Stegostoma tigrinum: one gene and its partners. Each later gene encodes a partner of the first gene's protein in a complex. Links are inferred from orthologs where the notes say so. Each region holds a gene or a part of one and is shown in the gene's direction. Other genes may lie near its edges. The genes, in order: sf3b1, sf3b6, mybbp1a and htatsf1.

Region 1 (7,493 bases):
AGTACAGATTGGGAGCAATTGTTCCACAGAAAGGGCACAACAGACATGTGGAGACTGTTTAAGGAGCAGTTGTTGCGAGTGATGCATAAATTTGTTCCTCTGAGACAGGTAAGAAGGGGTAAGATTAAGGAGTCTTGGAAGACGGGAACAGAGGTGCTTCTCATCATAAAGAAAAAGGCAGCTTACGTAAGGTGGAGGAAGCAAGGGTCTAGCACAGCTTTAGATGATTACAGGCTTGCTCAGAAGGAGCTCAGAAGTGGACTGAGGAGGGCCAGGAGGGCGCACAAAAAAGGCTTGGCAGGAAGGATTAGGGAGAACCCGAAGGCAGTTTACTCATACGTGAGGAATAAGAGAATGATCAGGAAGAAGTTAGGGCCAATCAGGGATAGCATAGGGAGCTTGTGCGTGGAGTCTGAGCAGATAGGGGAAGCCCTAAATGAGTTTTTGTTTCGGTTTTCACTAAGGAAAGGGACCTTGTTGTGAATGAGAACTTTGAGGAGCAGGAAAACAGGCTTGAACAGATCGAGATTGAGGAAGTTGATCTGCTGGAAATTTTAGGCAAACATTAAGATTGATAAGTCCCCAGGGCCAGACCAGATTTATCCTAGGTTACTCCAGGAAGTGAGAAAGGAGGTTGCTAAGCCGCTGGCGAAGATCTTTGCTTCCTCACTCTCCATGGGACTCGTACCGGAAGATTCGAGAAAGGCAAATGTCGTTGCTCTTTTCAAGGGAGGGAATAGGGAAATCCCTGGAAATTACAGACTAGTCAGTCTTAAGTCTGTGGTCAGCAAGGTTTTGGAAAGAATTCTGAGGGATAGGATTTATGACTGTTTGGAAAAGCATAGCGTGATTAAAGGGAGTCAGCATGGCTTTGTGAGGGGCAGGTCATGCCTCACAAATCTTATTGAGTTCTTTGATGAAGTCATGAGACAGGTTGACGAGGGTCGAGCAGTGGATGTGGTGTACATGGACTTCAGCAAGGCATTTGATAAGGCTCCCCACAGCAGGCTCATTCATAAAGTCAGGAGGTATGGGATACAGGGTGATTTGGCTGCCTGGATTCAGAATTGGTTGGCTGACAGGAGGCAGAGAATGGTTGTAGATGGTGAGTATTCTGCCTGGATGTCAGTGCTGAGTGGTGTCCCACAGGGCTCTGTTCTTGGGCCTCTGCTCTTTGTAGTTTTTATAAATGACTTGGATGAGGAGGGTGAGGGGTGGGTTAGTATGTTTGCTGATGACACAAAGGTTGGAGGTGCCGTTGATAGTATCGAGGGCTATTGCAGGCTTCAACGAGACATTGACAGTATGCAGAGCTGGACTGAGAAATGGCAGATGGATTTCAACCTGGATAAATGCAAAGTGATGCATTTTGGAAGGTCGAACTTAAATGCTGAATATAGGATTAAAGGCAGGATTCTCGGCACTGTGGAGGAACAGCGGGATCTTGGTGTTCAAGTGCATAGCTCCCTCAAAGTTGCAACCAAGGTGGATAAGGTTGTTATGAAAGCATATGGTGTTTTGGCTTTCAGTAACAGGGGGATCGAGTTTAAGAGCAGCGAGGTTATGCTGCAGCTCTACAAAAGCCTGGTGAGACCACACTTGGAAGATTGTGTCCAGTTCTGGTTGCCCTATTATAGGAAAGATTTGGAGGCTTTGGAGAGGGTGCAAAGGAGGTTTACCAGGATGCTGCCTGGACTGGAGGGCTTGTCTTACGAGGAGAGGTTGACTGAGCTCGGACTTTTCTCTCTGGAGAGAAGGAGGAAGAGAGGTGACCTGATCGAGGTGTACAAGGTAATGAGAGGCATGGATAGAGTCGATAGCCAGAGACTTTTCCCCAGGGCAGGATTTACATGCCAGGAGGGGTCATAGTTTTAAGGTGTTAGGAGGAAGGTATAGAGGAGGCGTCAGAGGGAGGTGCTTCACCCAGAGAGTTGTGAGCGCATGGAATACTTTGCCAGTGGTAGTCGTGGAAGCGGAGTCATTAGTGACATTTAAGCGACTGCTGGACATGCACATGGACAGCAGTGAATTGAGTGGAATGTAGGTGAGGTTATTTTATTTTTGGATTAGGATTATTCCACGGCACAACATGGTGGGCTGTAGGGCCTGTACTGTGCTGTACTTTTTTATGTTCTAATTATATGCCGTTATTCAGCATAATGGCGAACATTAAAAGCGTTCTTTATTTGGCTGTGATTCTTGGTAAAGAGATGAATATGTCTAAATATTAATTGGCCCCTGATTTCAAATGTTGATCATTCCTTGTGTGAGACTTTCCTCATATCAGTCCTAAATTTACCATTCACTTGATGTAACTTTCACCTGTCTCCTTGTTTTACCTTATAATTTAACTGCAAACAATATTTTATATTGATATTTTATTTGCTTTTCCATTCATCTCTGTTAGTTCACCTTTTTGCATACTTTTTATGAATGACATCACAAACACAACATGGAAACCAATCATTCTGATCTGCTAGTTTGCGTTGAGGTTTTCCTTGCTCAAAAATTAATCCTGATTTTGTACCCATTCTGTTGCAATATTCCTTTCACTCCCTTTTTATTCAACCATTTGTTTAAACTTTGACATCAGGAATCCACCTCATAGTTTGTATTTGCATTATCTCAAGTGTTGTTAGTGGGTAAGGTAGTTTCACAGTCATCTGACCCAAGGACTGTAGAGTTCAAACCTGGCTTCCCTTGATTTGTATTCAACTTCTTTGGCTAGATCAATATTCTAACTGTTCAAATTGGTGAAACTTAATCCTCAATAATGAAATATCATCAATCTGAAAACATAAGCCTGTTCCTTTGTTCACAAATAGAATGTTGGGTATTTCCAGGATTTGTTGTGTTAATTTCAAATTTACAACATCCACACTTTTTCTTTGTATTTGTGATTGAATTACAAAGATAATGGGACAAATAACAAAAGATGGATCTAGAAGAGAAATAAATGGTTACACAGAATAGCAGAGGCAGAGGAGGATGGAAAATATCTCAAAAAAAAGTTCTCCTGGGTCTAGTAATGCGAAGAAGAAAACAGGGTTGCAGACCACCCTGCCAGTAAAGGAGATTTTTACCTCAGGCACCAACCTCCTTTACTCCCTGTGATTCTTGTGTATTACCAGCATCTGCTGTCCATAAATAAATTGAGATGATGGTTAAAATCCAAAGTCATTAATGTTGATTTTAATAATAGAGAATGTGGCAGCATGAGTAGACTTTTAGACACCTCAAACTTGCTCCACCATGCAATGAGATCATTGTTGATCCAATTGTAGCCTTATCTCCATTTCTTTCCTGTTCACCAGAGCCCATGATTTGCATGTGGATCAACAGATACCTTTTGAAAAATGAGCTGTTGTTCTTCATGTTTGTGTTGAGCATCATTGAAATTTGTAGAGACCTCTAAACAAAATGGCCAGTGTCAGAAAGGGATGGATGATTAAAGTAGCAAGTGACCTGAAACTAAAGGTCACACAGTAATTTGATTGGATGTTGATTGATTATAAAGTACCTTGGGAAGTGCTCAGTTTTGGAAGACATTACATAATCACACGTTCTTCTTTTCAGCAAAATGATCACTAAACCTGTGCTTAGGCTTCCTGATGTAGGGGACACTACATTACAACTGCTAAGTACAATATACCAAGTTGAAAAAAGTACAAGTAACTCCAATTTTCACCTGACAAAAATGAAATCATGGGTCACGGCCAAGAGAGGATGACCTCCTAAGTGTTGCACCTTCTGTGCTCTCATGGGAAGGTACTGGGGATTGTTGCAGAGGAAACAATTCCTTTCAGAATACTGAAAGAGAAGGGGAAGATGTGTTTGTGGTGGAGTTTTCAGACATTATCTGTTGATTGTGGAGGCCAGCACAGTGAAAAGTGAGAACAAGGGGAACTCTGTTATGGTTTTGGTTGAAATGGAAAGCGTGTAAGAAATGGGATAGATATGGTTCAGGACCCTATCAACCACAAAGGAGGAGAATCTTTTGTTGCTAAAAAATATTCATAAGCTGTGGTTACACCTCCCAGTTTACCATATTGTGTAGAGTTTCTGTTTAATGGTTTGTGCTTTACATTTGTGTGCATTAAATTTCATGTGCCATTCATCCACTTTATGATTACAGAAACATTAGAAAACTTCAAACTTGTGTTACGAAGTCACAGGTAGAATGGGTTTCAACACCATGCTCTACACAGTTGAAAAATAATTCCACCTATGTGACAGCAAAAAACTGACTGTCTCCTTTATATCCTATGAAATTCTCAAACAAACCAAAGAATATTGCAAAGCAGTTTGAAGTGAGGCATCCACAAAGAGAAGAAAACAATTTTCAACATGACATTGGCAATTTATTTTGTTAACAGGAGTGATTTGTCTGTCATCCCTTGATTTGTGGCATAGACATCCCTTGGAGAATAACAGCGCTGCCTAGAGTGAGCTCAGACTTTTGAGCATTGGTGCTACCGGGGCAGAGGAGCTGCTGTCAATCAAATCCCGGGCCCACCCACAGCATCGCGGGTTCCGCTCGCAACCGTTGTACAAAATGGCGAAGATCGCCAAGACTCACGAAGGTAATTGAGGGGGGATTATGTCGGACGGTGTTTTTATCAGTTTTTTTCTAAAATTAAAACATGGGCGGAATGGAGGTCACAAGAATGTTTCCGTAGGCTGTGTCCGTAGTTCCTCCGGTTGTGAGCTGTAGGAAATGTGGCTGCAGTTCTGATGAACGAGCGCTTGGCTGGGTCAGGAAATGGCGTCGCTCCTGAGAGCGTAAATGAGGGCCGAGGGAAGAGGCGCCAGAAGCGACCGAGCGACCCCGACACTCCCGTTCCACCGACCAGTTCTCGAAATGGGCGGCGGTGGGGGTACTGTCTTAGTTCGGGTGCCTTCACGACGCGCGATCTTAGTTGGGTTTTCGTTGGCTTGAGTTTTGTGGCGGTTGGAGTCGGGCAGGCTGATTGACGCAGTCTGCCTGCGGCCTTGTCAATAACGACGATCCGCCGCCAGCATCGAAAAAGAAAGCGACTGCCTGCATCATTGCAGAGTGGCCGGATTTAATGTGGAGTTTGCTGAGAAGGTAGATCTGGTTCCAACCCAATCTGTTTCTCTACATGGGGAACGAAGTGTTGATAGCGGTGCTCACGTGTTTTCCTAGTGGATGGTCTGAAGAGTGGCATTGTCGATAGTGAGGAAGAGTCATGGTGTCAATGTCTTTGAATTAAGCACCTAACTAGCCAACTTATTTTGGCATTCATATCGCTGTTCTGTTTCGTGCGTGGTTTACAATGCCTGGGTTGCTGTGTCCTGGATTTTTAAAATGCATCCTAATTCTTGCTGCATTGAGGATGCTTAACACAAGTTCCCGTAGCTCTGTGGCGATTTGTCAAATCGCCAACGTTTTTAGACCTTAAGCGACGGTGCTAACGCATCCAAACATTAAAACAAAATGTTTATAAAGTAAACGAATAACCGTTTGATCAACATTTCGTAAAGCCACCATGACTTATGAATAGTGTTGGGCATCGTTGCTTTATTTTACCGTGAAGGAAAAATACTAAATCTAACAGCAGAATGTGTTTGGAATACAGTTTCTTTCGCCAGCCGAAAGGTTGAATTAACGTTTCAAGTCAAGTACAGTATGAATTTTCTTCATGAAATGCAAATGAGATTCCAGTTTATTCAAAAACAGAAATTGCCAGAGAAACTCAACACGTCTGGCAGTATCTGTGGACAGAAATCAGAATTAACGTTTCAGATCCATTGACCTTTTTTAAGTATGGGAAATTGCTGACCAGGCTTCCCAAACAAGTTCCACTTGTCTGGATTTGGCCCATAACCCTCAACCTTACCTATTCATATGCCTGCTATAACTGTATTTACATTACCATTTTCCATGACAGTTCATTCTATAAATGCACTACACTCTTGTGGAAAAAGTTGCATCTCAGATCCCTTTTAAATCATTCAACCTTTCACCCTAAACTTTTGCCCCCTAACCTTGAACTCCTCAATGAAGTTTGCGTTTTCCAAATTTGTTTGCTTTTTCAGTAAGCGTGGAAAAGCTCGGTGTTCCTTGACTTTTTCCAAGAAATCACGTGATAAATCTCTCATTAATCAACTCAAAATCATCCAGATAGTTCAGTTTTCTGATTCTCATAATCCAGAAAAGTTTGCTTTAGTACAAGATTGAGACAGAAATGGTTTTCTTTTATTTTTATGCAACCATTAGGCATATTAGTTACTTGCAAAGTCTAATTTGAAGTGTCACAGTATCTTGATGTTTATTATAAACATTTAAATGATCACAGATAAACTTTGGAATTCGTAAGTTTTCTGGATTTTGTGAACTGCCTTTGGATGATATTTAAACCTATAGTCTGTGGTGTCAGTAATTCTCAATACTTTCAAAATCTGCATTATCAAAATCCTATCTGTTGAGATACCAATATTGTGCTATTAATTGTAGCATAATTCATACTGACTTCTGGAGTTTTATTTTCAAGTATGCCATAATACAACCTTTTATTTTACAACTGAATTACTTTCTTGACACTGGGCATTGACAGTCTCTGTGGATTCATGACTGAAACATTTCAGTTTGCAAGTCTTGACGAGCAAGCAGTAATGTCACAAATATATTTTACCAAAATAAATAATTTTAATTAAAATGTAATCAATTCTTCTCATTCTCTATTAATTTGTAAATAATGCTTCCCATTCTGGCCCTTTTTTTGGTCAAATCTGAGTCAGGTGCATTGATTCATTGTTCATAGTTGTGGTCTTAACTAGTGCCTTGCATAGTTTTGCCAAAAATTCCCTACTTTTATTCATTCTCTTTGAAATAAAAGCCAACGTTCCAATTTGCCTTCCCTATTACTTGCTGAACTTGGATGCTATCTTTTTTTGTGATTAATTTGCAAGAACTAATAGTGGGTGGATAATTTTGAAATTTGTGTTGTTGAATGAGGCTTAAATATTGTTGGGAATGCCTCCTTACTGCTTTTCAAAATAGTACCGTGGGATTTTTAACACTCATCCAATTAAACAACTGGGGCCACAGTGTAATTTCTCACCTGAAGAATGCCACCTCTGACTGTGACTTCTTCAGGCTTGGATTGGAGTGTCAAGCCATGATTTTTGTGCTCAAATCTTGGAGTGGACTTTGAACCTGGAATCTTGTGCTTCACAGGACTCATTGCTGTCAAATCATACAAGCTGCTGATGGTACCTTCATCAGTCTCCTGTTACTGAAAGTGTAGTCGTGAGATTGTCATGTCCTGCTTTTAATAAACCGGATATATTAGGCAATTTTCCATGTTTGGTCAATGGCACTATTTTAGCTGTACTGCAGCAACTGGCTAGGAACTCAACTGGGGTACGTGTTTTTGGGGACTACGTTTAGGATTTTGTTTGGACTTTGTTAGTTTTTGGGTGAAACCGTGACTTAATCTGCGAGCAAACTCACCTTTTTGAATGAGAAA
Region 2 (8,376 bases), on another chromosome or scaffold:
AACTGAACCCTTTATGAAACAAGGAATAATATCCATATTCTAGTGCCAAAGCAGCACTGACATGAGAGTGTGAGGAATTGAAAAAATACAAATATTTTATGATCTATGGTGAAATCTAAATATCCTAAGTCAGAGATTTTTACCTGGACAATGTAAACAAGATGAATTCTGCAGTGTAAATACAACTTGCACGTAAATCTTTAAAATTATAATAAGAAAATTCACAACCTGTCAAATCATCCAAAAGTACATCTTGGCTGCATTGTGAATAAAACTACTTTTATTGCAAGGAAGTATGTTCATCTGTCTATTACATGGTGGTTAAAGACAATTTCTAACTCAATTCTCAAAAATGTTTTCTCAATGTTTAAGCCCAATTTATTCAGCCATTCATCTATGTTCTCTTTAAGGTCTGCACAGATCAAAGGGTGTGCTGATTTTCAAGTTCCAAATTCAGAAGTCGGTGCCTTGGAGGGCTGTGCATTGGCAAGAAAAATTACAGAGAACATTCATCATTATAGAATCCCTACAGTGTGGAAACAGGCCCTTTAGGCCAACAAGTCTACACCAAACCTCAGAGAATCCTATCCACACCCATCCTCCTAATCTACACTTCCCTGAACACTATGGGTCAATTTAGCATGGCCAATCCACCAAGCCTGCACATCTTTGGATTGTGGGAGGAAACTGGAGCTCCCGGAGGAAACCCGTGCAGACACTGGGAGAATGTGCAAACTCTGCATAGGCAGCTGAGATTGGAATTAAACCTGGGTTCCTGCCACAGTGAGCAGCAGTGCTAATCACTGAGCCAGTTCTCTCTCATTATAAGACAAATCTTTCACCATAGGGATCAATCTAGTGAATCTTCATTGGGGAGCTGCTTCCAATCAAGTATTTCCATTATAGCTTAGGAGCTTCTGTGGTGCAGTGTTAATGTCCCTACCTCTGGACTAGGTGACCCAGGTTCAAATCCTACCTCCTACCAAGAGGTGTAATAACTACTGTGCCATTATGCTACTTACTGTTAGGGCTAAAAGAATGAAAAGGTATGTGGAGAGAACAAGGTACTGAGTTGGATGATCAGCCATAATCATATAAAATGGAGAAGTGGGCTGAATGGCCAACTCCTGCTCCTATTTTCTGCAATACAAGAAGCACTGATATTGGTAGACGAACTGGTGATTTTGAGATACTTGGTTTTTCAGCAGCTCAGCATCCGTTTTCCTGTTCCATTTCTTTGCCTGCTTTCTATTTTCTAGCAAAGGAGACTTATTTTCATTTTACCTTAAATTCAAGGGTGACTCAAGGTTTTCACAGCTGTGGTCGTCACTGAACACACCTTCACACACTGGAACACATAAACTAGTGTTGGAATCGGTATTTAATTGTTTGTATATTCATGAAAGAGGAAAATCCAAATATGTTTCTCACCCATACTGCTCTCTCCTGTCATGTTTACAGGCTGGAATATAGTTCAATTTGTAGTCCTTTTTGTCCTTTTGAAGTCCTTCTCTTTGAAACTTTCTTGACACTCATCAGTTGTGACATTTGTGGGTTTCCTTCAATACGAAGGATAACCCACACAGGCTTACCAGAAATATCACAGCCTTACATTGCATAGAAGTTATATTCTCAGTCGTTTTAGCTATAACCACTCTTCAAAAAATGGTGTATTTAAAAGTTTAACATATCTAGTGGTGATCCATAATCTTAATAGCCCACGTCTCCACATTGCATGTTTATGAACATTAAAATCGGTAAGCTGCAGTCCATAAACGGCAGTAAGTATACCTGAATGCACCTAAAACAGTGCAGTCACCAATCAAGGGAAATATGAAAATAACACAAGTGTGAACTCTGGATAATATTATGTTGTGTCTTATTGTGAATGAATGCCATTAACTGTTCCCCCACTACATATGAACTCAACATGTACCTCAACCCATGATAAAACAGAAAGTGCTAGAGAGACTCGGCAGATCTGACAGCATCTGTGGAGTGTCATAAAGTCATACAGCATGGAAACAAACCATTTGACCCAACAAGTCCATGCTGACAATAATCCCAAAAAAACTAGTCCCACTTGCCTGCGATTGGCCCATATCCCTCCAGCCCGTTCTTATTCAAGTACTTATCCAAATGTCTTTGAAACATTATAACTGTACCCACAACTACCACTTCTTCTCAAAATTCATTCCACGCACAAAACTTTCTCTGTGTAAAATAATTGCCTCTCTTGTCCTTTTTAAATCTTGCCCCTCTCACTTAAAAATATGCCCCATAGCCTTGAACTCCCCCACCCTAGGGAAAAGACCCTTGTCATTCACCTTATCTATGCTCCTTACGATCTTATAAACCTCGATAAGGTCACCCCACCACCTCCTACGCTCCAGTGAAAGAAGTTTCAGCCTATCCAGCCTCTCCTTATAACTTTAACCTTCCATTCCTGGCCACATCCTGGTAAATCATTTCTGAACCTTCTCCAGTTTAATAAATCCTTCCTATGACAGGGTGGCCAGAACTGGACACAGTGCTCCTAACGGATTGAGTCTGGTATTATTTTTCTGCTAACTCTTCAGAATACATAATACAGAAACATTTAATTACTTGTGCACACTACAAACAGCAGAGACAGCAGCTCTGACGCTCCTCTCCCCTTACTTCCACACTAACCTCCAGTCTAACTTTCAGACTTCTCCTACTCCTCCCATCCCACCTCCCCACGACCCCACCATCCCTGCCCTGACCAATCTCTTACTCCAATTCAGTAGTACGGGGTGCAACAGTGGAGGTAGCACATAGTGCAGGATGGTGCCCTGCGGGCTGCATGTGGGAGCACACAGGTTTGTGGCTTATGCTATCGGTCATCAAGGAAAGTCTGTAACACTGGCAGCAAAATCAGTTACTGCACATAGAGGTAAATGTAAGGATTATCGTAAATTGGGCAGTTACTGGCATAGATTTCCAAGTGGAAATTTGATTCTCTTGGCTGTAACAGAGACCTAGCTCAAGTGCAGGGCAAGATTCGCTGGTAAATCTTCCAGAGTACAGGGTGTTTGGAAAACATAGAAAAGGGAGGGAGACAGATTTGGTTAAGAAGAAACTTTGTAGTGCTGGAAAAAGTGGACTCTTGATGGGTTCAAGGACAGTATCCATTTAACTACATCGAACAAAAAGGATACACTGCTAGTGTAGTTTATATCCAACTAAAGAAAGAACAAATATGCATGGAAATTGTAGAGAGATGCCAACATTACAGAGCAGTTATGATCAGGGACTTCAGTTGTACAAATTTAGGCCGGGATTTGGTCGTGTTAAGGGGCAGGAAGGGCAAGTATTCCCAACACCAGAATGTGTCCAATCCAACAAGGAATGATGCAATGTTGGATCTGGTTCTTGAAACTTGGGTGGGCCAAGTCGATCCAATGTCAGTGACAGACATCTAGGAGACAGTTCTGAAGAAGGGTCACTGGACCCGAAATGTAACTCTGTTTTCTCCCCCACAGATGCTGCCAGACCTGCTGAGCTTTTCCAGCAACTTTGTTTTTGTTCCTGATTTACAGTATCCGCAGTTCTTTTGGTTTTTATCTAGGAGACCGTGATCATTTTATCACAAGGTTATAAATGATTGTGAAGAATGCCATTAGTCAACCAGAGTAAGAAAAATTAATTGGCAGAGAGCCAACTTTAGTGGGGCAAGAATTGAACTGGACAGGTTGGAATAGAACGAGTGGTTGACGGGAAAAACTGGAAGATGCTCCCCAGGCCAGTGAAAAAGGAAAAAGATCAATCACCAAAAGGGTTCAATATTGCTAAGGAAGAAGTGTTGGATAGATGGTTGGTACTTGGAGTTGACAAGGTACCAACACTAGATGAGATGCATTCAAAGATATTGAAGGATATAAGAGTGTAAATTGTATAATCTTTCAGGCTTCCTTAGATTTGGGAGAGGTAACAGAAAATTAGAGATTTGCAAACACTAGGATCTTATTCAAGAATGGTTGTAAGGATAAGCCCAGCATTACAGACCAGTCAGTTTATCCATGACTTAGGAGTTGAGAAGCTTCCAAAACTATTATTTTCGATAGAATTAGTGGTCACATGGAAAAAAGATGGTTTGATTAGGTAAAGTAAGTATAGATTTCTGAAGGGAAAACATGGTTGACTAACATTGGTGATTTTTGAAAAGGTAACAGAAAAGCTCAATGAGGGCAATACTGTCATTGTGGTGTATTGGACTTTCAGAAGGCATATCATACCGTGCCAGACAACAGACTTTTGAGGAAAATATAGGTCATAGGAATAAAAAGGTCAGTTGCAATATGGATATAAAATCAGCCAAGTGGTAGGAAACAAAAAGTAATAGTCAATGGCTAATTTTCAAACTGGCAGAAGGTCTGCAGTGGAATTCCCTGTAGTCAATATTGTGTCCCTGGCTTTTTTTTAAAAACAAATATTAGTGATGTAAATCTTGGTGTTAAGTGAACAATTTTAAAGTTTGCAAATAACACAAAACTTGAAAGAGTTGTACTCTGAGGAGGTCGGTGTAGAACTTGAAAATGGCAGCGAATTCAGTAGAGTGAGCAGGAAGCATTGCATATTGACGTGGATACCCCACCATAGGAAGAACGTGCCTGTCTGGAAAAGAATGCAGAAGCAATATTATGAGTGGTTCCAGGAATCGGGAACTTCAGCTATTGGAACGGATTCAAAGAATTGTCACTGATTCTCTTCTGAGAGAAAGACGCTAAGAGCCCTTGTGAAGCTTTGTAAAATCACCACGCTGTGGAGACTTGCCACCAATTTGAACTTGGTGCGTGCCTTCGATCCCTGGTCTTGGGCCCCAACTGCAGGTATGCCAGCTGTGGCTGATACAGTCAGTGTTCAGCGATTGCCCCAGGAATATCCCCAGTGCCCAGGATAACCCTGCACGCAGGAATGGCTAATACCCCAGGAGCAAACAGTGCCTCGGAACACTCATTGCCAAAGGGAGTGTTGCAGGGACATGCTGCACCGCGGGTAATCCCACTGGGAAAGGGCACTCCTGGGACTCCCTGCAGCTACATTGACCTGGAAACCTGAACCTCTGTGACCTCCTGGTGACCCCTTGGAACTGGGCAACTCCCCGGAGCACGTGGCAGACGGGTGCGTATGACGCCAGGGCGCAAGGGGTCTGTGACGCCAGTACGCTGTTGCGTCGCCGCGGTGAGGTTTCCTGCGCGCTCTGATCGGCCCTGTGTGCTCGGCCTCTTGTTCCTACAGACCGGTCGCGATGGCGATGCAAGCGGCGAAAAGGGCGAACGTGAGTCCGCTTCTCTTTAGTCGTTGACCGCGCCACGCCCCCGGCCTTTCCCCCAACCGACTGCCGGCTCCATTCGATCTTCCGTCCGTCGTACGTTCAGCCCCGAAGCCGGGCTACACGCTCACCTCCAGTGAGGCGTCCCCTTGGCAGAATAGGATTGTCCCTCACGAGCCGCACGCCCCACCCCCACACTCCCCACCCCCACACTCCCCACCCCCACACTCCCCACCCCCACACTCCCCACCCCCACACGAATCCTCCGCTCCCCCCCGAATCCTCCGCTCCCCTCCTCCCCCCCCCGAATCCTCCCCCCCCCGAATCCTCCCCCCCCCCGAATCCTCTCCCCCCCCGAATCCTTTCCCCCCCCCCAATCCTCCCCCCCCCCGAATCCTCTCCCCCCCCCGAATCCTCTCCCCCCCCGAATCCTCTCCCCCCCCCCGAATCCTCCCCCCCCCCGCCGAATCCTTCCCCCCCCGAATCCTCCCTCCCCCCCCGAATCCTCCCTCCCCCCCCGAATCCTCCCTCCCCCCCCCCGAATCGTCCCCTCCCCCCCCCGAATCCCCCCTCCCCCCCCCCGAATCCTCCCTCCCCCCCCCCGAATCCTCCCTCCCCCCCCCGAATCCTCCCTCCCCCCCCCCGAATCCTCCCTTCCCCCCCCCCGAATCCTCCCTCCCCCCCCCCGAATCCTCCCTCCCCCCCCCCGAATCCTCCCTCCCCCCCCCCGAATCCTCCCTCCCCCCCCCCGAATCCTCCCTCCCCCCCCGAATCCTCCCATCCCCCCTCCCCCCCCCGAATCCCCCCTCCCCCCCCGAATCCCCCCTCCCCCCCCGAATCCCCCCTCCCCCCCCGAATCCCCCCTCCCCCCCCGAATCCCCCCTCCCCCCCCGAATCCTCCCATCCCCCCTCCCCCCCCCCTGAATCCCCCCCTCCCCCCCCCGAATCTCCCCCCCCCGAATCTCCCCCCCCGAATCTCCCCCCCCCGAATCTCCCCCCCCCCGAATCTCCCCCCCCCCCCGAATCTCCCCCCCCCGAATCTCCCCCCCCCGAATCTCCCCCCCCCCGAATCTCCCCCCCCCCCGAATCTCCCCCCCCCCCGAATCTCCCCCCCCCCGAATCTCCCCCCCCCCGAATCTCCCCCCCCCCGAATCTTCCCCCCCCCGAATCTTCCCCCCCCCGAATCTCCCCCCCCCGAATCTCCCCCCCCCCGAATCTCCCCCCCCCCCGAATCTGCTCCCCCCCCCCGAATATCCCCCCCCCAAGGGCGTCCCCTTGGCAGAATAGGATTGTCCCTCACGAGCCGCACGCCCCACCCCCACACTCCCCACCCCCACACTCCCCACCCCCACACTCCCCACCCCCACACTCCCCACCCCCACACTCCCCACCCCCACACTCCCCACCCCCACACTCCCCACCCCCACACTCCCCACCCCCACACTCCCCACCCCCACACTCCGCTCCCCCACACTCCGCTCCCCCCCCGAATCCTCCGCTCCCCTCCTCCCCCCCCGAATCCTCCCCCCCCCGAATCCTCCCCCCCCGAATCCTCCCCCCCCCGAATCCTCCCCCCCCCGAATCCTCCCCCCCCCGAATCCTCCCCCCCCCGAATCCTCCCCCCCCCGAATCCTCCCCCCCCCGAATCCTCCCCCCCCCGAATCCTCCCCCCCCCGAATCCTCCCCCCCCCGAATCCTCCCCCCCCCGAATCCTGCCCCCCCCGAATCCTGCCCCCCCCGAATCCTGCCCCCCCCGAATCCTGCCCCCCCCGAATCCTCCCCCCCCGAATCCTCCCCCCCCGAATCCTCCCCCCCCCGAATCCTCCCCCCCCCGAATCCTCCCCCCCCGAATCCTCTCCCCCCCCGAATCCTCTCTCCCCCCCCGAATCCTCTTTCTCCCCCCCCCTCCCCCCCCCGAATCCTCCCTCCCCCCCCGAATCCTCCTCCCCCCGAATCCTCCCCTCCCCCCCCCGAATCCCCCCTCCCCCCCCGAATCCCCCCTCCCCCCCCGAATCGTCCCCTCCCCCCCCCGAATCGTCCCCTCCCCCCCCCGAATCGTCCCCTCCCCCCCGAATCTTCCCCTCCCCCCCTGAATCCTCCCCCCCCTCCCCCCCGAATCCTCCCCCCCCTCCCCCCCGAATCCTCCCATCCCCCCTCCCCCCCGAATCCCCCCTCCCCCCCGAATCCCCCCCCCCCGAATCCTCCCTCCCCCCCAAATCCTCCCTCCCCCCCCCGAATCCTCCCATCCCCCCTCCCCCCCCCGAATCCCCCTCCCCCCCCCGAATCCCCCCTCCCCCCCCCCCGAATCCTCCCTCCCCCCCCCCGAATCCTCCCCTCCCCCCTCCCCCCCCTGAATCCCCCCCTCCCCCCCCGAATCTCCCCCCCCCGAATCTCCCCCCCCCGAATCTCCCCCCCCCGAATCTCCCCCCCCCGAATCTCCCCCCCCCGAATCTCCCCCCCCCCGAATCTCCCCCCCCCGAATCTCCCCCCCCCCGAATCTCCCCCCCCCCGAATCTCCCCCCCCCGAATCTCCCCCCCCGAATCTCCCCCCCCCGAATCCCCCCCCCCCCGAATCTCCCCCCCCCGAATCTCCCCCCCCCCGAATCTCCCCCCCCGAATCTCCCCCCCCCCGAATCTCCCCCCCCCCGAATCTCCCCCTCCCCCCCCGAATCCCCCCCTCCCCCCCCCGAATCCCCCCTCCTCCCCCCCGAATCCCCCCTCCCCCGAATCCCCCCCTCCCCCTCCCCCGAATCCCCCCTCCCCCGAATCCCCCCTCCCCCTCCCCCGAATCCCCCCTCCCCCTCCCCCGAATCCCCCCTCCCCCTCCCCCGAATCCCCCCGAATCCCCCCTCCCCCTCCCCCGAATCCCCCCTCCCCCTCCCCCGAATCCCCCCCTCCCCCTCCCCCGAATCCCCCCTCCCCCGAATCCCCCCCTCCCCCGAATCCCCCCCTCCCCCGAATCCCCCCCTCCCCCGAATCCCCCCTCCCCCGAATCCCCCCCTCCCCCGAATCCCCCCCTCCCCCGAATCCCCCCTCCCCCGAATCCCCCCCTCCCCCTCCCCCGAATCCCCCCCTCCCCC
Region 3 (7,782 bases), on another chromosome or scaffold:
GTTTGAGTCACCCACGGGCTTTAGACACACAACATGGAATTACCCCACTGCAGATGAAACTGCTGCTTAGACAGCTTGAGGAGTCAACTGTAAGCCCCATGAACACACTTCTCATGCACTGAACTTCTTTAGATCCCTGTTCCCTTTTGCAGCAATGTTACCACTGGCTAGCTAGATAAGTAACTAATGTAAGATGTTGTATTTTGATAAGGCACACTAGGGCAGGACTTATACAGTTAACAGTCGGACCTTGGGGAGCACTGCCAAATTGAGATCCAGGGATGCAGGCACCGTAGTGAAGGTGGTGTTAGCACGCTTGCTTTCATTAGTCAGAAGTTTGGTACGGGAGTTGGGACATCATGTTGCAGCTGTACAGAACATTGGTGAGAATATAGTGTAAAATTCTGGTCGCCCTTCTATGGAAGGATATTCTTAAACTTGAGAGGATGCTGAAAAGATTTACAAGGATGTTGCCAGGACTGGAGGGCTTGGGTCATATGGAGAGAGTTAATTGGCTGGGGCATTTTTCCCTGGAGTGTCAGAGGCTGAAGGCTGGCCTAATAGAAGTTTACAAAATCATGAGTAGCTTGGATAGGATGAATATCCAAGATCTTTTTCCTAGAGTGGGGAGTCCAAGGCTAGAAGACACAGGTTTAAGGTGAGAGGAGAAACATTTAACAAGGACCAGAGGGGTAACTTTGTCACACAGAGAATGATGGATATATGGAACGAGCTGGTGGTGGAGGCAGGTAAAATTACATTACTTAAAAGACATCTGGATGGGTATAGAAATAGGAAGGGTTGAGAGGGATATAAGCCAAACGCTGGCAAATGGGTTTAGGTCCGATTAGGATGTCTGATGAGCGCAGCTGAGATAGACCAAAGGGTCTGTTTCTGAGCTATATGACTCTCGGGGTTAATGGGGCCAGTGAGAAATGTGGCATGTGTTATTCAATGGTCAAGTGTACACCACAAAATTTTAAAAATATTTTGTGGTCAATCTGATTGCTGCTCTGGGAGAAATAAAATTTGCCAAGCAATCCACACTTCAGAATGAATGGTAACACCACTTTTCAAACAGATACTTGCCTGTTGAAAGCAACAGAGATCGACTGATCACAGTTTGTTATTGTCTGAACAAGTAAAGGATACCAGATGGCTTCAGTTTCACAACTGTGCTGTCAAAAACAAGTTACTAAATTGCACTTCAGCAAGATTTGAGAAGGCAAATTCTGGTCATTCATGAAACTAGGTTTTCTTGAAGTCTTTGAGACTGAGAATATTATATCGCAAAAGCAAAACCCAAGGTGATGAAATGTGAGTCCATACAGTTGCAAATTAACTGCAATTCATATTTTGGGGAGAACATTATTCTCAGTTCTGGGTAAGGGTGAGGAGTGGGTTAAAGTAGTGACAAGATGATAAGTGCCATCAAAGGAGGTAGAGATGGAAGAGGAGTAGTGATGAGCCAGTGAGCTGACTGATGGCATGGGATATGGGGTGAATGGAGCAAGGGGAGCAGAGAGGAAGGAGGAGGAGGGGCTGAAGTGGGTGCTGAGCGTGAACGCACTTGGCGGGTGGGGGGTGGGGGGAGAGTAGTGTGTGTCAGCAATGGCCAAGCAATGGGGGGGGGGGGGGGGGGCGCGCTGACAGCGGGGGGGGGGGGGGGGCGCTGACAGCGGGGAGGGAGGGCTGAGAGCGGTGGGGGGAGTGGGGAGGGAGGGCTGAGAGCAGTGGGGAGGAGAGAGAGTGCAGGGGTTGGGGGTGATGATGAAGGGCATAAACCTAAAACATCAACTTTCCTGCTCCTCTGATGCTGCCTGAATTACTGTGTTCCTCCAACGCAACACTGACTCCAGCAATCTGCAGTTCTTGCTAACTCCAAGTGGTTGGCGGTTGAAGGGTGTGGGTAAAGATTGAGTGGAGGGGGGAAATGAGGCCTGTGGGGGTGGATCAGCAGGGGGACTGAGAATTAAGTGTGCTGGGGGCTGAGCAGGTGGAGAGTTTTTGTGTGGTGCAGGGTTTGGAGGGGGTTGGGGATTTTGAGGGTGGGTTACGAATTTGTTGGGGGGGTTGTGGGGGAACTTTGTGCAGGTGTTGGGGATTTGGGTGTCAGTATTTCTGGGTAGTTAGAGGGTGGAATTGTTAGGGCGTAGAAGGTTTGGAGGCGTTAAATTTTTAGGTGGTAGAGGGTTTGAATTTTTTAGCAGGTGGAGAGTTTGGGGGGGGTTGAATTTTTAGGAGGTAGAGGATTTGAGGGGTTGAATTTTAAGGGGGTAGAGGATTTGGGGGAGTTGAATTTTTAGGGGGTTGAGGATTTGGGGGGTTGAATTTTTAGGGGGTAGAGGGCTTTGGGGGAGTTGAATTTTTAGGGGGTAGAGGGTTAGAATTTTTAGGAGGTAAAGGGTTTGGGGGAGTTGAATTTTTAGGGGGTAGAGGATTTGGGAGGTTGAATTTTTAGGGGGTAGAGGATTTGGGGGGCAGAGGATTTGGGGGGGTTGAATTTTTAGGGGGGTAGAGGATTTGGGGGGTTAATTTTTAGGGGGTAGAGGATTTGGGGCATTGAATTTTTAGGGGGTAGAGGATTTGGGGGGAGTTGAATTTTTGAGGGGTAGAGGATTTGAGGGGTTGAATTTTTAGGGGGTAGAGGATTTGGCAGGTTGAATTTTTAGGGGGTAGAGGATTTGGGGGGGTTGAATTCTTAGGGGGTAGAGGATTTGGGGGGAGTTGAATTTTTGGGGGGTAGAGGATTTGGGGGGAGTTGAATTTTTGGGGGGGTAGAGGATTTGGGGGGAGTTGAATTTTTAGGGGGGTATAGGATTTGGGGGGTTAATTTTTAGGGGGTAGAGGATTTGGGGGTTGAATTTTTGGGGGGTAGAGGATTTGGGGGGAGTTGAATTTTTGGGGGTTAGAGGATTTGGGGGGTTGAATTTTTAGGGGGTAGAGGGTTTGAATTTTTAGGAGGTAAAGGGTTTGGGGGGAGTTGAATTTTTAGGGGGTAGAGGATTTGGGGGGAGTTGAATTTTTAGGGGGTAGAGGATTTGGGGGGAGTTGAATTTTTGGGGGAGTAGAGGATTTGGGGGGTTAATTTTTAGGGGGTAGAGGATTTGGGGGTTGAATTTTTGGGGGGTAGAGGATTTGGGGGGTTGAATTTTTAGGGGGTAGAGAGTTTGAATTTTTAGGAGGTAAAGGGTTTGGGGGAGTTGAATTTTTAGGGGGTAGAGGATTTGGGGGGAGTTGAATTTTTCGGGGGTAGAGGATTTGGGGGTTGAATTTTTAGGGGGTAGAGGATTTGGCAGGTTGAATTTTTAGGGGGTAGAGGATTTGGGGGGGTTGAATTCTTAGGGGGTAGAGGATTTGGGGGGAGTTGAATTTTTGGGGGGTAGAGGATTTGGGGGGAGTTGAATTTTTGGGGGGGTAGAGGATTTGGGGGGAGTTGAATTTTTAGGGGGGTATAGGATTTGGGGGGTTAATTTTTAGGGGGTAGAGGATTTGGGGGTTGAATTTTTGGGGGGTAGAGGATTTGGGGGGAGTTGAATTTTTGGGGGTTAGAGGATTTGGGGGGTTGAATTTTTAGGGGGTAGAGGGTTTGAATTTTTAGGAGGTAAAGGGTTTGGGGGGAGTTGAATTTTTAGGGGGTAGAGGATTTGGGGGGAGTTGAATTTTTGGGGGAGTAGAGGATTTGGGGGGTTAATTTTTAGGGGGTAGAGGATTTGGGGGTTGAATTTTTAGGGGGTAGAGGATTTGGGGGGAGTTGAATTTTTGGGGGGTAGAGGATTTGGGGGGTTGAATTTTTAGGGGGTAGAGAGTTTGAATTTTTAGGAGGTAAAGGGTTTGGGGGAGTTGAATTTTTAGGGGGTAGAGGATTTGGGGGGAGTTGAATTTTTCGGGGGTAGAGGATTTGGGGGTTGAATTTTTAGGGGGTAGAGGATTTGGGGGGAGTTGAATTTTTAGGGGGTAGAGGATTTGGGGGGAGTTGAATTTTTAGGAGGTAAAGGGTTTGGGGGGAGTTGAATTTTTCGGGGGTAGAGGATTTGGGGGGAGCTGAATTTTTAGCGTGTTGAGGGTTTGGGTGTCCGGGTTTTGTAGGGTAGAGTGTTTGGGTGGGGGTGGGGTTGGCGGATAGAAGGGGATTAAGGAGTGTTGAGTGGGTAAAAGCCGAGAGTGGTCTCAGTGCAGTGCTCCCCCTCTTCCTGTCCCCGGCCCGGTAATGCACAGGCCCCGTTACCTACCCCCGGCCTCCCCCGAAGCTGCTGTACTGCTGCTGCCGCTCATCGTAGCTGTCGAAATCCGCCATGTCCCCGCTCGAGACAGGCTGAGGCCGCCAGGACCCCGGTACCAAGACAACCGCGGCTGCCTCACGCTGTGCCAGCAAGAAGTCTCCCTCGGAAGACGATTCCAAACACCCGGCTCCCTAAATCTCATTCTTTGGCTTCCAGACCCAACTGAATCAATTGTGATAAATTACTGTTGATCGATAGCTTGTCTGATCTCACATCTGGGCAGACGGCAGAGGGGAAAGAGGCAGCCAGCAAGGGTCATGACCTTGTCTGTGTGAGGACCCCGAGGCGGCATGGCAGCCGAGAGTGAGATGGGCAGAGAGGCCGCGCTGCAGAAATCCGTCATCCTGCAGCAAAACCGCCGTTTCCTCGACTTCTTCTGGGACATCGGCAAAGCCGATCAGAATTTGCGGCTGCGAGGGATCCAGGGTCTATCAGACTATCTCAGCAATCCAGGGAGCAGGGTGAGGCGGAGGGGGATGGGGGGAGCACGAGGTTGGGGCAGAGCGCGGGGTGAGGGAGGCGGGAGGAAACTGCGGGTTGGGGGGAGAGATGGAAGAGGGATAGAGGTAGAAGAACGGGTGGGAGGGATTTGGGGGGGGGACGGAGAGGAGGAGGATGAGGGGAGAGCGTGAGATGGGGTGGAGAGGGTGATGGGGGGGGGTGAGCAGGGAATGAGATGGTGAGGGGATGGGGGAATAGAGAGGACAGTGAGAGGGGAATTGGGGGGAGAGATGGAGGGGGGCAGCGAGAGGGGAATGGGGGGAGAGATGGAGGGGGGCAGCGAGAGGGGAATGGGGGGAGAGATGGAGGGGGGGCAGCGAGAGGGGAATGGGGGGAGAGATGGAGGGGGGGCAGCGAGAGGGGAATGGGGGGAGAGATGGAGGGGGGGCAGCGAGAGGGGAATGGGGGGAGAGATGGAGGGGGGGCAGCGAGAGGGGAATGGGGGGAGAGATGGAGGGGGGGCAGTGAGAGGGGAATGGGGGGAGAGATGGAGGGGGGGCAGTGAGAGGGGAATGGGGGGAGAGATGGAGGGGGGGCAGTGAGAGGGGAATTGGGGGGAGAGAGACGGGGGGGCGGCGAGTGGGGAATTGGGGGGAGCGAGACGGGGGGGCGGCGAGTGGGGAATTGGGGGGAGCGAGACAGGGGGCGGTGAGAGGGGAATCGGGGGGAGAGAGACGGGGGGGCGGCGAGTGGGGAATTGGGGAGAGAGAGAGAGACGGAGGGGGGGCGGTGAGTGGGGAATCGGGAGAGAGACAGAGGGGGTGCGGTGAGAGGGGAATCGGGGGGGAGAGAGACAGAGGGGGTGCGGTGAGAGGGGAATCGGGGGGGGGAGAGAGACGGAGTGGGTGCGGTGAGAGGGGAATCGGGGGGGAGAGAGACGGAGTGGGTGCGGTGAGAGGGGAATTGGGCCGAGAGATGGAGGGGGGCGGTGAGAGGGGAATTGGGGGGAGAGACAGGGGGGCGGTGAGAGGGGAATTGGGGGGAGAGACAGGGGGGCGGTGAGAGGGGAATTGGGGGGAGAGACAGGGGGGCGGTGAGAGGGGAATCGGGGGGGGGGAGAGAGAGAGACGGAGGGGGGGTGGTGAGAGGGGAATTGGGGGGAGAGACAGGGGGGCAGTGAGAGGGGAATCGGGAGAGAGACGGAGGGGGTGAGTTGAGAGGGGAATCGGGGGGGGAAGAGAGACGGAGGGGTTGCGGTGAGAGGGGAATCGGGGGGAAGAGAGACATAAGGGGGCCGGTGAGAGGGGAATCGGGGGAACAGGGAGAGGGGATGAGGGGTAGAGCAGGCTGAGAGAGATGGGGAGGAGAATGTGAGTTGAGGGAGTTGGGCAGAGGAGAGGGGGATGGGGTGCAGAGCAGTGTGAGGTGAAAGGGGCTAGCATGGAGAGAGTGGGGTGGGGGGAATAGCGCAGGAGTGGGGAGAGAGTGAGATGAAATTTGGGAGGAGAGGGAGAAGGGGCATGGAGAGGGACTTGAGGGCGGCGGCGGGGGAGTGGTTTGAGAGGGCTATGGGAGGAGAACGGGGTGAGGTGGATATTTGGAGAGGGAAGATTGTGGGGGGAGAATTGGGGAGGGGAGGGGAAGAGGGATGGGGCCGAGAGCTAGTGGGATGGGGGGGGGAGGGCGATGGGAAGGAGAGAAGGGACTGGGGAGAAGCATGGGGTTTGAGGGATGTGGGGAGGAGAGGGCAATCGGGGGAATGGGATGGAGAGCGGAGTTAGGGGGATGGGGGGATCAAGGGGTGAGAGGGATTTGGGGGAGAATGGGGGTGTGGGGGGGAGAACGGAATGAGGGGAGCACGGACTGAGAGGGATGGGGAATGGAGTAGAGAAATGGGGGGAGAGCAGAATGAGGGGAGTGGGGTGAGAGGGATGGGAAGGAGGGAGGAAAGAGGGGAATCGGTGGGGGGGAAGCAACGTGACAGGGTTGGTGGAAGGAGGGGACATGAGGGCAGAGCATGGTGTGAGAGGCATGTGGGGAGAGGGGGGTGTGGGGTTTGGGTGAGGAGGGGGTTGCAGGGTGAAGAGGGAGTGGCTTGGGAGGCATTGGGGAAAGATGGAGGGGGAATTGGGAAGAAGGGGAAGGGAAGTGGGTGAAAGGGGGGGCAGGGAAGAGAATGTAGTATGGGGGAAGAAAGAAGCAAAGAACTTGGGGGAGTCAGCGAGAAAGCTTGGTGTTTGCTAGGGATGCAGGAGAGATGGAGAAGGGATGGCAAGATTATTGGTGAAGAGGAGAGAGAGTGGGAGCTGGGGAGCAGAAGACTGAGCCTGCTGGGTGCTAGAGTGAGAGTGTTGGGAGTTACATGTGATGGAGGTGAGGATGTGGTGGGGGTAGAGAGAGAAAGAGAGAGAGAGCAAGAGCAAGCTGGTGTGTAGGGTGCAAGACTGGTGGATGCAGGGAGCCAGAGTGTAGAATTGTGCAAAGTTGAAAAGCTGAAATTGAGAGCAGAGTGAGGAGGTTAGGGCAAAGCTGTGTGAGACAGTTGAAAGCTGCAGGGTGATCATTGAGTGAGATGAGGACTGATTATCAGGGATAGCCGGGTGAGTTGAGTGTGTCAGAAATGAGGGTGAAGCAAGCCATGGTGTGGGATTCACGAAAGGTGGAGGAACCAGGAGCTCCAGTTCGAATGTAGGTATCTCTATCTCTAACCCTAGGCATGAATATTCTGGCGTGAAGATACTCCATGGAGTCTGGGCCTGCTAACACCACCTGGGGTTGCTGTTGAAGTACATGTCCCCAAAAGTATCTCCATCCATCCCTCTCCTTCAGCCACCCTACCCAACTCAAAGCCTGTCATTCCCTGGGTGGTCCATGGTCCTCACTATCCCCTCCGCTGTTCCTTTTATTTAGTTGCTATAAGTAGCTCGCTATTTGCCCCTTGAGGTTATAGCTGGGGTTAGTTCATTAGGGACACATTCATGGACAAATATCTATTAACTATTCCCTATCTGTTTTCAGGATGATGAGTTACAATATGCAATCAAGCGTCTGGTTGAAG
Region 4 (8,209 bases), on another chromosome or scaffold:
AACAGGGCAGAACGTCATTGCTGTTCTACTCCAAAGTATCTTCTGTAACTGAATGGCTAAAGGAATGTGACAAGAGTGAAAGCTGGCATCATTGGAGCATTTTTGAGGTGAGATGGAGATATTGCCTATTAAGAAGGTATCACGTTTGTTCATGAATGCTCCTGGATGATTCATGGTGCAATGGGTAGGAGATGTCATTCTGACCAGGTTATTGAACATTTTGAAGCCTTCGTTCCATGCCTTGAGTCTAGACTCCAGGCATTCACCACCCTAGCTATGTACTGCAAATTGTTTTCGAGGCTTCTGCGCAAAAGCCTTTAGGAGTCTGTGGAAACATGTCCTCTCCCCTGGACAATGTCTAGCTGTGTTGATGTTTCAGGATTAAATCTCGATGATTGCCATTTAATTTCTTTAATTGTGTACTTGCATTAAATGCCAACATTCCATTTCTTTCCTCAAGACTTTCTCTACCCAGATAATAGATCTTTGCTCTAGATACTCAGATCTTTGCTTTTTACCTTATGCATTCCAAAGTCATTTCAGTTCTTATTTCTTCTATTTTAAAAGGGACAGTCCACTTTTAACAAGTGAAGGTCAGCTACAACGTGAGGATGGATTGTAAAGCCAACCCGACCCCCTGTTCCCCATCTTCCCTTTGACTGAAACAGAATACTTATAAAATGAAAGATAACAAAGTGTGAAGCTGGACAAACACAGCAGGCCAAGCAGCATCTCAGGAGCACAAAAGCTGACGTTTCGGGCCTACACCCTTCATCAGAGAGGGGGATGGGGAGAGGGTTCTGGAATAAATAGGGAGAGAGGGGGAGGCGGACCGAAGACGGAGAGAAAAGAAGATAGGTGGAGAGGAGAGTATAGGTGGGGAGGTAGGGAGGGGATAGGTCAGTTCAGGGAAGACGGACAGGTCAAGGAGGTGGGATGAGGTTAGTAGGTAGGAAATGGAGGCGTGGCTTGGGGTGGGAGGAAGGGATGGGTGAGAGGAAGAACAGGTTAGGGAAGCGGAGACAGGCTGGGCTGGTTTTGGGTTGCGGTGGGGGAGGGGACGAGCTGGGCTGGTTTTGGGATGCAGTGGGGGAAGGGGAGATTTTGAAGCTTGTGAAGTCCACATTGATACCATTGGGCTGCAGGGTTCCCAAGCGGAATATGAGTTGCTGTTCCTACAACCTTCGGGTGGCATCATTGTGGCACTGCAGGAGGCCCATGATGGACATGTCGTCTGGGGAATGGGAGGGGGAGTGGAAATGGTTCGCGACAGGGAGGTGCAGTTGTTTATTGCGAATCGAGCGGAGGTGTTCTGCAAAGCGGTCCCCAAGCCTCCGCTTGGTTTCCCCAATGTAGAGGAAGCCACACCGGGTACAATGGATACAGTATACCACATTGGCAGATGTGCAGGTGAACATCTGCTTTATAACATGAAGTTCACTGCCTGCCCTGTTCCGAGGAAGGATCACCGGACCCGAAATGTGAACTCACAGATGCTGCCAGACCTGCTGAGCTTTTCCAGCATCTTCTGTTTTGTTGCACACCCTGCCTGCTGCCTTGCTGTGCACCATCAGACTTGGTCCCATTTTGCAGGGTGGTAGAAGTGTCACGTGCACTGTCAAGTGTTCGGTGCCCTTGTCCCTATTCCACACCAGAATTAGAAGCAACAGTAGACAGTACGGCAGCTCAGGGCTGTTCCACCATGCAATTTGATCATGATTAATCTGACTGTGGCCCTAACCCTGCTTTCCCGTTCATCCTCCCTCACTGTGGACTCTCTAAATCCAACTTAAATTTTCTCAGCCTCTACTATTCCCTGGGTAGGAAAATTCCAAAGACCAGTGATCCTTCGAGGGAAAACGTTTCTCCTCCTCTTAGCCTTAAATGGAAGACACCTCATTTTTAAACTCTTTCCCCTAGTTCCACACTCCCCTACAAGTGGAAACATGCTCTCAATGTCTGCCCTCTATACAGTCTCTCAAGATCATATATATTTCAATAAGATCACCATTCATTCTCCTAAAGCACCAACCTTTTCAATCTTTCCTCAGAAGATAACCTCTTCACCACAGGAATAAGTCAAGTGAAGCTTTTCAGAGATGCTTCTAATGCAAAACAATGCTTCCTTGAGTAAGGAGATCAAAACTGTACATAGTACCCCATATGTGGTCCCAGCACAACTGCAGTAACACATCTCTACTTATGTGATTGTAGATATTTTTAACTAATTTATTCAGATGTGTTATGACACACATCTGGAGCAGGTGGGAGTTGAACCCAAGCCTCCAGGTTAAATGGTAGGGCCACTGCTATTGTGCCACAAGCCATTTGATTTCTTTAACTGTGTACTTGCATTAAATGCAAACATTCCATTTTTTTCTTCATGACTTGCTCTACCCAGATACTAGTTTTCTGTGTTTTATGTGTCAGGATGTTAAGAGTCCTCTGCACCATAGAAGGATCTCTCTCCATTCAAATAATAGTCAGCTTTTCTATTCTTCCTGCCAAAGTGGACAAATTTACATTGTCCCACGTTATATGAGATCAGCCAAATTTTTACCCACTCATTAAACCTAATTCCCTTTGCAGATGGCTAAATTAGAGTATGCGGTGCTAAGAGCAAAGTCGTGGTATGCATAGAAGATTGGCTGTCTGGTAGATATCAGAGAGTAGGGATAAAGGAATTTTTTCTTAGAATGGCAGCCAGTGACAAATGGAGTTCTGTAGAGGTCCGTGTTGGGACCACAACTATTCATGTTATATATTAACAAGCTGGACAAAGGAACTGATTGAAACTTACAGAGTACTGAGAGTCCTGGATAGAGTGGACATGGAGAAGATGTTTCCGCTAGTAGGAGAAACGAAGACCTGAAAGCACAGAACTTCAGAATGAAGGAATGACCATTTAGAACTGAAAGAAAGATGGATTTTTTCAGCTACAGGATGGTTAACCTGTTAAACTCTTGCTGCGTATGGCTGCAGAGATCAAGTTATTGAGGCCATTTAAGACAGGTTCTTGATTGATAAGGGGATTAAGGGTTAAAGGGAGAAGAGGGTTGAGAAACTAATTGGTTATGATCGAATGTGGAACAGACCCGTTGGACCGAATGGCTGAATTCTGCTCCAACATCTTATGACATTACAACAGCTTATCTCCTCTTGATAACTTACTCTTCTGTATATCTTTGTGTTATTGGCAAATTTGACAATCACGTATTCAGTCCTTTCATTTAAATCATTGATATATTGATGTGGATTGTAAATAGTTGTGCCTCAGAACTGAATCCAGTGGCATCCTGCTGCTCACATTTTGCCAACCCAAAAATTATTTATTTATTCCTGTTTACTTCTTGTCAGCAAACTCCTAAACTGTTATCTTCATCCCTTCTCCATGCCCTCTTATTTTACGCAATCATCACTAACCATTTATTGCCCACCCTTTGTTGCCATTGATAAGATGCTGTGAACTGCTTCAGTCTATTTACTGCAGGTACCCTCACAATGCTTTTAGGGGTGGAGTTTTCGGATTTTGACCTAGCAACCCAAAAGAAACAGCCATATATTTCCAAATCTGGACAGTGAGTGACATGGAAGTAACATGCAGGTGGTGATCCAGTATATTCACAGTCCTGGGACCCTCTAGATATTGAGGTCCTAGCTAGTTACATTTAGATTCTAATTTCTTTATTTCTCAATCATTTTTTGCTGTTTTCTAAAATCTGTCCAATTTTCTGATCTACCTCAACTAATCGTCACAGGATTGTACGCTTTCCTCTTTCAATATAATAACTATCTTTAACTTCCTTTGCTATCTCATATATTCTATTGAGAAGTGATCCTATCTTCATTGAAGTTATATTTGCTTAAGTGTCTGTCATTGTTCTTCTATTGCATCACCTTTTTAATCTGTCTTCCAAATGCATTTTGGCCAGCATAGCCTCATAATTTGTAATTGCATCTGCTAAAGTTTAAAGTACTAAAATTGCAGGTGTTGTGAATACCAAAGAAGGTTGCCTCGGAGTACGATTGCATCTTGATCAGATGGGTCAATGGGATGAGGATCGGCAAATAGAGTGTAATTTAGATAAATGTGAGGTGCTGCATGATCAAAAGGCAAATCAGAGCAGGAATTATACATTTAATGGTAAGGTCCTGGGGAGTGTTGCTAAAGAGACCTTGGAGGGCAGATTCATAGTTCCTTGAATGTGGAGGCACAGCTAAATAGGATAGTGAAGAAGGCATTTGGTATGCTTGCCTTAATTTGTCAATGCATTGAGTATAGGTGTTGGGATGTCATGTTGCGGCTGTACATTGGCTAGGCCACTACTGGAATACTGTATGCAATTCTGGCCTCCCTGCTAATAGGAAGAATGCTGTGAAACTTGAAAGGGTTCAGCAATGATTTACAAGGATGTTGCCAGGGTTGGAGGGTTTGAGCTTTAGGAAGAAGTTGAGTAGGGTGGGCTTATTTTCCCAGGAGCATGGTGGCCGAGGAGTGACCTTATCAATGTTTATAAAATCATGAGGGGCATGGATAGGATAAATAGGCAAGGGCTTTTTCTCCTGGGGTGGGGAGATTCCAAAACTAGCCAGCATTGGCTTAAGGTGAGAAGGGAAAGATATGAAAGGGACCTAAGGAGCAACATTTTCACGCAGGGGGTGATGTGTGTATAGAATGAGCTGTCAGAAGAAGTGGCAGAGGCCGATACAATTACAACATTTAAAAGGCATCAGGATGGGTATATGAATAGCAAGAGTTTAGAGGGAGATGGGCCAAATAGGACTAGACTAATTTAGCATGTTTTGTTAGCATGGACAAGTTGGGCCGAATGGTCTGTTTCCTTACAGTACAGCTCCATGCCTCTATCCCTTAACAGGTTGATGTAGACCATACATAAACCTGTACCTGAGCCATCAGCATCTCCTCCACCAAAACCACGTGACACAGGCCCTGCCAGCTCCCGGAAATGACATCTCAAACAGGGAGCTGAAGGTCAGAGTTCGGCGAGTCTGCGTATCGAGGTGCTTTAAGGCGACTTTAAGAGAGTGGCGGCTGACCGCGTTTATTTTTGGGCCGATTGGTGTTTAATTTTCGGGCCCGGAGGATGAGCGGTGAGGAGGCGAACGCCGATTTCCACGAGCAGCTGCGGCTGCAGCGGCTGCTGGAGGGCGGAGAGGCCGAGGAGGCGTGGGGCCGCACGAGCACTTTCGTGGACGCGGAGGGCACCGAGTTCGAGTGGGACTGGGAGAGGAAAGCCTGGTTCCCCAAGGTACGGCCGGGGGTGGGACTGGGCGGAACACTGCCCACCCCCATGACCCCTCTGCAGGCCGCACTCCCGGCCCTGAGCCAATTCTCTCCCCCCGCCACCACCACCATATTTTCGCCAGGTCCTTGACCCCCCCCCCCCCCCCAGGCCTTTCAACCCCAATTTTCCCCCATCCCACCCTTGCCCCCTTTTCCATGTCTTTCAATCCCCCACCCTTCCAGTTTGGTCAACCCTAATCCAATCCCACCCCCCTCCCCTTTCCAGGTCTTTCAACCCCAGTTCCCCCCCCCATTCCAAGTTTTTCAACCACAGTTCTTCTCTCTCTCTCTTCCCCCCCCCCCACCCCCGGTTCGAGGTCTTTCAACCCGAGACCCCACGCCCCCCCCCCCCCTTTCAGGTCTTTCAACCCCAGTTTCACCTCCCCCCATCACCAACCCCCCCCCTTTCCAGGTCTTTCAACCCCAGTCTCTTCCCCCCCCGCCCCCCCCAGGTCTTTCACCCTAAACCTGAACCTTTCAGATTTTTGAACCCATTCCTGCCTTTCCAGGTCATTGATAATATGAGATAACATGGTACGGAGCTGGATCAACACAGCAGGCTAAGCAGAATCAGAGGAGCAGGATGGCTGACGTTTCAGGCCTAGACCCGAAACATCAGTCTTCCTACACCTTGTTATCTCAGATTCTCCAGCATCTGCAGTTCCTACTACCTTTTTCCAGGTCATTCACTGCCAAAGTCTGCACCCACCCTCCCTGCCCACACTCTCCATTTCCACACCCTCCATTTCCACCTAGCTTACGTGACCTTGCTATTCGCACATTCTTGGTACCATCTCCACGCACACACATCCCGACCCATATCCCTCCAAACCCTTCCTATTTGTGTACCCACCCAGAACCGCTCTAAACTCGTTGACAGTTTTCAACTACTTGTCGTACACATCCTGTCGTAACAATTGTTTCCAGATCACTGAAGATTTTCTTGCAACATATCATGCAAACTACGGTTACGTTGAAGAGGACCCTGAGAACAGTGGCAATTCCACCACTGAAACCCAGAAGACAGCAGCCATTCTGCAAAAGTCTTCAGGAGATAATGCAGCTCAAGGGGATCCTAAAGAAACAAAGCAAAAAGGAGAGAAAAGAAAAGTGGACATCGGTGATGCTATTTTTCTTCCTGTCATTCTAGCACTTTTGGATATTATTTCAGATTTGAAAACTAGATTTATTTAAAGGACTAGACAGGCACATGAGTAGATCACTGGTCCGTGCTGTGTGGATATAGATCAGTTCACTATTGCGTTGATTTTGTTGATGAGCCCTGGTCATTTGTCGCTGATTTGCTTTGAGACTTTACCGAAGTCACACTCAAATTTTACTGTTACTCATGTATTTTCTCTGGTGTTTTTTTCATTCTCAGCCAGTCTCATCTTCAGGAACGGTAGTGAATGTAACCTGGCAGCGTTAATTGTGTAAAACACAAAGTTGTCTAAAATGTTATTTAAAATGCAAAGTTGATTATTCGTAAAATAATTTAGTATACAATATGACCAACAGTAATTCAAGACATAAGCATTATCCCTCCCCTTGGCAACAGTTTGAGGCTTAATCACACTGTTTACACCTTTGGTTGTAAATTTGACCCCGAAATGAAATGATTGCATACATACTGACTGGTATGGCTTCCCTGTCTTGATTTTTCTTTTAAGAAATCTCTTGCACATTTTCATATGCATCCATAGCCGTGTCCCCCAGCTATGTCTTAAATCTACTTCGAGCTCTCAACCCTCTGATATATCTGCAGTCATTTAATTCTGGCCTTTGGAACATCCCTGTGACTTCAGCCAACAAGGCCCAGAGCTTTGGAATTCCTTGCCTAAACCTGTCCGACTCTGTTTTCTCCTTTTTTAAAGATGTTCCTTCAAATTCGTTTGCCCTAATACCTGTCAATGTGGCAATATCAAATATTGTTTATGACACTACAGTGAAATGCTTGTACTTTGTACATGAAGAAACTGCAAATTGACCAATGTGCAAACACGTGTATGTACCTAACAAGAGTCTGTGGAACTTGGAACACACTGCTAAGAGTGGTAGAGGCAGAGCCCCTTGTAACATGCTAAGAAGTATTTAAAAGTAAACTTGTGGTGCCAAGGCATAAAGACCCTTCATAAGCCTATTAGAATAGGTAGGTGGTTGATTTTGATCATGCCTTCCCTGTGCTGTAGATCTCAATGATTCAATTGTGCAAATTGCTATGTTGACTGCATGGTCTTTCCTTTGTTCTTGATGGATTATTGAATTTTAATTCCAATAATCACAATGTTGGCATTAGTGATAACAGTTCAAACAAATCTACTGGAGCATCTCCTTGTAATTTGATTTGACATTGGCAACAGTTTTATTAAATCATTTTTGAGGCTGACTTGTCAATCTTGTATTGCTGTCTTTAACTTGTCTCTTGAGATGGATACAAATGTAATTGAACAACCTCTGAAAAATGACAATCAGAAAGTATTGTCCGCATGTCATATTTCTGATAATGGAATGATGCAATTTTCTCACAGATAAATAATTTGAAAAGTAAAAGGCAAAATTTTTGGTTTTAATGCTGCAACTCATGTAACATGACAAATCTTGGTCTCACCAACTTTAATAATTTATTTCACCCAAGTTCCAAAGTAAATGATTCTGACATTTGTAAAGATGCTGAATTAATACTTGAAGAACTGTGTGTTCCCCATTGTTCAGTTTCATGCTTTTCTGGTTTTCATGCAGCAGGTAGTACTTACCAGAATCCTTATAATTCGTTTATCTCCTCTATTTTGTATAGCTTCATTTATATTTAATAATGCAAATATATCTTTTAAAGGCTGGATTGACGTTGAGGAGCAGAGGAACACAAATGTGTACGTGTCTGGTAAGTACTGAGTTGAACACTGC

Evidence for each region.
Region 2: the proteins of sf3b1 (region 1) and sf3b6 are in contact, whole or in part, in a crystal structure (PDB 2F9J), measured with the Homo sapiens proteins. The link is inferred for Stegostoma tigrinum from reciprocal best matches to the Homo sapiens genes SF3B1 and SF3B6. Residues at the interface, in NP_036565.2 of Homo sapiens: Trp388, Ile392, Arg395, Asn396, Arg397, Pro398, Leu399, Ser400, Asp401, Glu402, Glu403, Leu404, Asp405, Ala406, Met407, Phe408, Pro409, Glu410, Gly411, Tyr412, Lys413, Val414, Leu415; in NP_057131.1 of Homo sapiens: Arg12, Leu13, Pro14, Pro15, Glu16, Val17, Arg19, Ile20, Ala32, Met35, Tyr36, Arg46, Gln47, Ile48, Arg49, Val50, Gly51, Asn52, Thr53, Thr56, Thr59, Ala60, Tyr61, Val63, Glu65, Asp66, Ile67, Phe68, Tyr92, Ala97.
Region 3: sf3b1 (region 1) and mybbp1a share a complex: the UniProt entries of both Homo sapiens proteins name them as parts of the B-WICH complex. The link is inferred for Stegostoma tigrinum from reciprocal best matches to the Homo sapiens genes SF3B1 and MYBBP1A.
Region 4: sf3b1 (region 1) and htatsf1 share a complex: the UniProt entries of both Homo sapiens proteins name them as parts of the 17S U2 SnRNP complex. The link is inferred for Stegostoma tigrinum from reciprocal best matches to the Homo sapiens genes SF3B1 and HTATSF1.

The regions. Positions count from the first base shown.
Region 1 is NC_081360.1:31,792,480-31,799,972, forward strand, and holds the start of sf3b1 (splicing factor 3B subunit 1), read left to right. Parts: upstream 1-4,485; 5' UTR 4,486-4,555; coding exon 4,556-4,583; intron 4,584-7,493. UniProt on the Homo sapiens protein: Component of the 17S U2 SnRNP complex of the spliceosome, a large ribonucleoprotein complex that removes introns from transcribed pre-mRNAs.
Region 2 is NC_081357.1:122,344,946-122,353,321, reverse strand, and holds the start of sf3b6 (splicing factor 3B subunit 6), read left to right. Parts: upstream 1-5,165; 5' UTR 5,166-5,272; coding exon 5,273-5,302; intron 5,303-8,376.
Region 3 is NC_081380.1:5,286,857-5,294,638, reverse strand, and holds the start of mybbp1a (myb-binding protein 1A-like protein), read left to right. Parts: upstream 1-4,551; 5' UTR 4,552-4,573; coding exon 4,574-4,744; intron 4,745-7,742; coding exon 7,743-7,782. Other genes in the region: eif4h (eukaryotic translation initiation factor 4H), read right to left, coding at 4,233-4,297. UniProt on the Homo sapiens protein: May activate or repress transcription via interactions with sequence specific DNA-binding proteins. Repression may be mediated at least in part by histone deacetylase activity (HDAC activity).
Region 4 is NC_081371.1:10,944,711-10,952,919, forward strand, and holds the start of htatsf1 (HIV Tat-specific factor 1), read left to right. Parts: upstream 1-4,998; 5' UTR 4,999-5,105; coding exon 5,106-5,270; intron 5,271-6,232; coding exon 6,233-6,425; intron 6,426-8,138; coding exon 8,139-8,186; intron 8,187-8,209. UniProt on the Homo sapiens protein: Component of the 17S U2 SnRNP complex of the spliceosome, a large ribonucleoprotein complex that removes introns from transcribed pre-mRNAs.